2 linked regions of the Caenorhabditis elegans genome follow. The protein of the gene in region 2 purifies or fractionates together with the protein of the main gene of each other region. This does not show direct contact. Each region holds a gene or a part of one and is shown on either strand. Other genes may lie near its edges.

Evidence for each region. Proteins that work in one complex are often made in the same cells at the same time.
Region 1: the proteins of T25D10.1 (region 2) and cyc-2.2 fractionate together in Caenorhabditis elegans (co-fractionation; one large-scale study listed by BioGRID). This does not show direct contact.

The regions. Positions count from the first base shown.
Region 1 is NC_003283.11:12,611,132-12,614,005, reverse strand, and holds cyc-2.2 (putative cytochrome c 2.2), read left to right. Parts: upstream 1-1,787; 5' UTR 1,788-1,788; coding exon 1,789-1,860; intron 1,861-1,911; coding exon 1,912-2,121; intron 2,122-2,169; coding exon 2,170-2,259; 3' UTR 2,260-2,324; downstream 2,325-2,874. Other genes in the region: cubn-1 (Cubilin homolog), read right to left, coding at 1-247, 627-1,159, 1,214-1,323, 1,367-1,498, 2,370-2,499, 2,550-2,659. UniProt on the Caenorhabditis elegans protein: Electron carrier protein. The oxidized form of the cytochrome c heme group can accept an electron from the heme group of the cytochrome c1 subunit of cytochrome reductase.
Region 2 is NC_003280.10:6,401,706-6,405,601, forward strand, and holds T25D10.1 (uncharacterized protein), read left to right. Parts: upstream 1-1,695; 5' UTR 1,696-1,985; coding exon 1,986-2,154; intron 2,155-2,199; coding exon 2,200-2,366; intron 2,367-2,437; coding exon 2,438-2,537; intron 2,538-2,583; coding exon 2,584-2,713; intron 2,714-2,761; coding exon 2,762-2,835; intron 2,836-2,879; coding exon 2,880-2,986; intron 2,987-3,036; coding exon 3,037-3,273; 3' UTR 3,274-3,335; downstream 3,336-3,896. Other genes in the region: btb-2 (BTB domain-containing protein), read left to right, coding at 300-394, 442-784, 834-984, 1,026-1,303; spp-11 (Saposin B-type domain-containing protein), read right to left, coding at 3,735-3,896.

The DNA.
Region 1 (2,874 bases), on a different chromosome or scaffold from region 2:
GGACAGTAGCAAGTGTAGTCTCCAACAGCACTGTATCCGTCGTCAGTTACCTTGCATGTTGCTAATTTATGGCATTTGTTTTTGACACAACTATCATCTTTCACACAATTTCCTCCATCGCCGGAGTATCCAGTCGGACACGAATCACAATAATAACTGCCAAGAGTGTTATGACATTTTGAAAGCGGAGAGCATACACGAATTTCACCTTCACATTCGTTGACATCAATACAAACATTTCCATCGGCTGAATTTATTTTACTTTTTGGATTTCAATGACAGATATTCAGTACATTTTTCGACACCTTCAAACTAACAAATTCTGATTTTTCACATTGTTAAGCCGAAGTTTATAAGACTTTCTCTCCTCATTCTCGGAACTGAGAAATCCAAACAAGTATTTTCACAAAAAAAGCTTGAAATTTGTAAGTGTTATACAGGGTAGGCACTTGTTCAGGCGTACGTGTCTACCTCATGCCTACCACACACCTATTGACCTATTTAAATGCCTACTTACCTATTTTATGAAAACGTTTTGGATACGAGTATATATTTTCTAGACAAGAATTAAACCAAAAAAATTATTTTATTTTTGATTTGATTGAACATATATAATTCTAACTTACTTTTATATCCTTTTGGACATCCGGAACACACAAACGATCCAGGCAAATTAATACAATCAACTCCTGGATGACATGGATTTGATTCGCATTCATTGACATCAACACACGTTGGATTGTTCTTATCACTTGAAACCTTGAAACCCCAATCACAAATACACTTGTACGTAGTTGTATCGGAAGATGACTGACCAGTTGGATCCACAATACTCTCAATACAATGCCCATGTGGACCACACAATTCAAAAGTTTTCGAGCAAGCGGACATATGATACTGACAAAGAGATCCATGATATCCGGATTGGCACTGACATTCAAATCCGCCACGGTTATTGATACATGTTCCATTGTTCTGACATCCAGCAGTTGTACCATTGTATACTGAGCATTCATCGATGTCAGCTTCACAAGTTGTACCGGTGAAATGTGGAGGACAAAGACAAGTGAATTTGGCGCCAAAAGATGGGATACATGTGCCTCCATTACTACATTTGTTCGGATCGCACGCGTTTATTGCTATCAATTTGTTGATTCCTCTTGAAAGTTAACAATTTATAAAAAATAGTCAAACCTAACTTGTTGTGTCTTACATGATTTGACGTGTCATTTTCACCAATAATCCCCGTCTCCTCATGTCTCTGGCCATTTTATCAGTTTTCCACTTCTTCAAGATATTCACTTCGAGTGTCATATTTCGAAGCTAAAAATTGATTTCAAAAAGAGAAAAAAATGTATGGAATTACCGCTACTAGATAATGTTTTGCAGAATTTAAAACCACTCTCATTGCAGAAGTCTGCGTGTCCTGGCGACTTTTCAAAGTGGTGAACATTTGAGAAGTGTTCTCAATACGTCCAACAAGTTGCTTGAAAGATGCCTGAAAATTATTTTGAATATTGAAAATTGTAATTCGAGTTAATTTTCAAAAACTTCCATAGTTCAAACATTTTCAAACAATTATTCATTTTGAAAAGTTTTATAAAAATAATAGAACTTAATTATCAAAATTTACGTGACCGTTTCTCAGGAAAGTGATTCTTTTTAAATAGTTGTCAAAAAGTAAATTTTTGCGTGATCTCCGACTATCTAATTCCAACTCTTACTCGTAATCCACGTTTCGTTCCTTTTTCTAATCTGACCGTCTATGTTTTAATCAGTTCTTGAAACATGGGCAAGAAGAAGTCTGATACGGCATCCGGTGGAGCTATTCCAGAAGGAGACAATGAGAAAGGAAAGAAGGTTAGTTAAATTTTTCATTATAGTGTTCCCAGAAAACCTATTGATTTTCAGATCTTCAAACAACGTTGCGAGCAATGTCACGTTGTCAACTCATTGCAAACAAAGACTGGACCAACATTGAACGGAGTGATTGGAAGACAATCCGGACAAGTTGCTGGATTTGACTACTCGGCTGCCAACAAGAATAAAGGAGTTGTATGGGACAGACAAACACTTTTCGACTATTTGGCTGATCCGAAAAAGTACATCCCCGGAACTAAGGTAGGATTTTCTAGGAAGTGCGATGGAGTATTAATAAGAAATTTTCAGATGGTCTTCGCTGGTTTGAAGAAAGCTGACGAACGAGCTGATCTCATCAAATTTATTGAAGTGGAAGCTGCCAAGAAACCATCGGCATAAGCCTCTACTAAATAAGAAATCTGTGTGTTAAGCAAAGCAACGTATCAAAAATAAATGTTTTGTAGAAGCTCGTTCATTTTTTTTTTGGATAATTTCAGCAGTCTACCTACAATATCTGGAAGTTTGGAAACATCTGTTTCGTCCACATATATTCTTCCATTTCCAGTCGTTTTGAACGTTATATTTTTATCCTTTCCGGCATGCAACCACACATTTCCATCAACCATTAGAATACGTGATCTGAAATGTTTTCGGACGTAATTTTGAAAAAAAATTAAAGGATTCGTTACCTTGTTTCATATGAATCTTCGATGTGTATTTCTTCATAGTCAATTGAAGATACATGATTTAATAAGCCGAATAGTATTAATGAAAGAAATAACTGTAAGTTAGGTATCATTTGTTGCGAAAATGAAATGAAATTAATGGAGTTGCACGGTGGAGGGTGAATAATTTGTTTATGTCATTGATACCTGATTGGAAATTGAGACGATCCATTTGTTTATAACAGATTATGTAAGAGAACACCTGCCAATGTTTAGGTTATGAGTAACTAGTGGGCCGTTGAATTTGTGTTCGGTTTTAATGAAAAAACTGTTAAGCTGGCTGAAACTC
Region 2 (3,896 bases):
TGATTTTTCAAGCGGATTCTTGTCGCTAATAGTTTTTAAAGCTTGATGATCAACTTCCACGAATATGCGAGACACTTATTAACAAATTTTCACTTATTACTGTAAACTAAACATTTCAAAATTAATAAAAAAAATTTAATTACAGGCCATAATAGCGTGACACTCGTTCTGCGTACATCTGGCTTTATTTCCACGTGTCCCACGAGTTTTTCTTCCTCTTCAGTTTTTGATCAGTGCTAATTGTTTTCGTTAGAATTTGAAAACTTCGAAACTTCGAAACGAAACTACTTCGAAAAAAAATGAAGATAAAATGTGTTGAAGTCAACAGCGACAAATATTCGATTAAATCAGTGCTTGGAAAATTCTGTGATACAAACTGTGGAGGAATCAATGTGTGAGTTTCAAGATTTTTCCACTTCGGCTAATACAATACTTTTTCAGCTCATTGTTTGTCTCAGAAACTACTTCGAATAAGTATAGATTTGAATGGGAATTAAAATGGGACGAATTGAAGAAGAAAGGGGTCAAGCATTTGTTTGGAACAATCACCCCGGAAACCAACGACAAGTTGGTTCCAAGCATTGATTTTTCTGTTGATGAAAAACGCAGCACATCTAATTTGGAAACTTCTAAAGACTGGTTGTACAACATTCCTTTCAAGTACAAAATTTTCTACAAAGAATCCGATTATTCTGGATTAACTTTGGAAGAACTTTTCAAGCCATCTGAAAGGAATGATGCCGTTTTAGTGATCGGAGGTACAAAGATGCATGTCAATAAAGCTGTAAGATGTTTTTTTGCAGTTGCAGTGTCCTATATTTATAATTTTCCAGTTGCTGAGCTTCCATTCTGAATATTTTCGAGCTCTGTTCTCCTCGAATTTCAAAGAAGGAAAGTTGACTGAAATCCCAATGTATGAAGTTTCATATGAAGATTTCTCGAGAATGCTGGCAGTTTTGTATGGAAATGAAGCTTTATTGAAAGGTGATCCAATCCTTCAAACTAATATGAATTCATTATTTCAGATGATAATTTGGAAAAGATGTTGGAGCTGGCCGATCAATTTCAGGTGCCACGTGTAACGGCTCATATCGAGACTCATTTGTGCCACTTTTCGAAAATGAAGCAGGATCAATTGATGCGTTTGGCAGACAAATTCAATTTGCGTACAATCATCGAAAAGATTATCAGTGAAGTGGACACTACTCAAAAAATGAAGAACCTCAAGAACTCGGCAGTGTTCTGGAATTTATCAGATGAAACGAAGGTGCTCTTCCTGTATCGTCTCATGCAATTGATCTAAAGGATGGTATAGATTGAAGTTTTTTTATTGTATAATTTATGTATTTATTGTATTTTCGTGGTATAATTATGGAAGAATAAATGCATCGCATTTGAAAGTTTTTTTATACAGATTATCTCTTATTCAAAAAAGTTACATTTAACTAGTAAAATCTAGCCAGAAATTTAAGATCGTGTAGAACTCAGAAGATATCCGAAATCAGATGGCAGTGCTGAATACTGCTCATAACTATTTTTGTTACCTTTTTTTAAACATTGGTAAATATTGGCTTGGCTTAAAGTATGGCTTATGACGTGAACCAACATTGAAAATGGACGAATATTCTGGAAATTGAGTTTTTTTAGATAATAAAAAACGCTGTAACTATATATAAATAAATGTAATGTTTGTTTAAAACACCTTTTCTTCCAGTGCTACACCCTTTTATTGATCTTTTGTGTCAATATAAGTAGACTCTTATCACTTTGAACTTGTTCACTGACATTCTATTCACCATGACAGTCAATTCTTTATTCAACAATTTTACTTTTTTTTAAATATTAAACTTGCATTATTATTTTTGAAGTGAGTTAGTGAACGAAAACAAACAAAGACCCTCCACGGGTACTCACTATCAGTACTACTCACGTATTTGGATATTTTTTGCGGGGATTTGGAAAGCCATTTGCAGTTCCAACCAACTATGTTCTTAAGAAGACGTAATTTAAATTCATCAAGAATCATATGCATCATATCAATTATCGTGCTTCTTCTTATAATCATTTCACTATATCCTCATAAGCGGACACAATTTGGAAGATATTCTCGAAGACAGAAGACCATTCGATTTCAGCATAGTACTGGAGAAATAGGCAAGTAATCTTTTAAATCATACTTTAAAATAAATTTCCATTTAGGCGATCAATTATTCTCTCTACTTTCTCATCTTGGTGTTGCAAAAACTCTTTATCGAATTCCAGTTATCAATTCTGCTAATAATTCAAAATTAATCGATACTCTTTCAAACGCAATGTTTACAAGATTTCCATCGATTCTGCAACAATTTTTAATTGCTATTGAACCAGTAAGTGCATTTTTATAAAAATTTTCACAATTAAATGTATTATTTCAAATGATGATAAATTTGATTTTTAGCCAACAGCAGTGAATAGAGAACTTGGAATCGAGAATAGTTCGTACGAAGATCCTCTTACAAAGTTCTCAGAGGACACATCTTCAAGTCTGATGGTCAAAGGTTTGAGTGATCAATATAGTTTGGAAGTCTATTGTTTTTTATTCAGGGAACGGATTCAAAAGTTTTAAATATTTTGATAATTTGCGTTCTGACATTCGCTTGTGGGTATTGGAAGACGCCGAAAGTGTTCTAGAAGCACAAAATTTGATTACAAAATCTCAACGGAACAACTTCAAGTAAGCATTTTGATCATTTTAAAATTTATTTTTATTTATTTATTTCAGAATTTGTGTGCATGCAACATTAGAAAGCAATAAGAACTGCAGTGTTAAAGCAATTGCACAAATTCTGAATCATTGTAAATTAATTGAAACTTGACCATTTTTAGCCGTTCGTTTTCAGATACCAATGAATATGAGGATGTTATGTTGATAATTGCTAGCCCGTTTCCGGAATTTACTCGTTTCATTTTTACGAACTCGAGAATCAGAAAATACAAAACTGAAAAAGTGAGTTTAGTAAGTACAAACTTTCTTAATAATTTGTTATCATTTTTCAGTTTTCATTGATCAGTTCTTCACCAGAAATGCAAATTATTTTTTCAAGAATCTATTGTGATGTTGTATTCTTGACAGTTCCATATTCAACACATGGATGGTGGATGGGATATTTGGCAAAAGATGACAATAGCCACGTGTTCTATTTTGATCCAGACATGTTCCCGAAAAATAGAACGGCGAACCAAGAAGACTATTTCCCGCCAAAATGGAAGAAATTGTCAAGAAAAATTCAATGATCTCGATTTATCTTGTACAATAACTAACTTTTGTTTTGAATAAATAATTCATTAAGGCTGTGTATATGCAGTTTTCAGGAAAAAAAAACTGTTCAACGTCGATCACATTTTACTCACAGCTTTTGAGCCAAAAATTGAAATTAAATTTCCACCCAGAAGAAGACAGCGTCAGAGCCAAAAGAACAACCAAAAATCGGCAATTTAATTTGCCTGTATACAAAAACACGGATGTTTTTAATGTTTTAAGTCAGCTGAGTTCATAATAAACTTGATAACAAACGTGTCTTAAACTTCATCAATTGATTGTGCAAGTTTATAGAAAAAGATATATGTATCTTGAAAACCAAAAAACACGTGCAGGGTAACTAGACTTCAATTTTTGGAAATATAAAAATATACTACTAATATGTTTGTATTAAAATAATTTTATGAGAAACAAGTTGATAATTGACAGAAAACAATTATTTACAGAAAGGTACGTGCTTACAAAATGAAACTGGTTCAAGATTCTTCTTAAGTCCATCGAATCCCTTGAAAATTGTGTCCATAATATTTCCTTTGAACATAACACACATGGTCCCAACTGTGAGAGTTTTCGGATTGCTTGTTAAAGACGTGCAGAG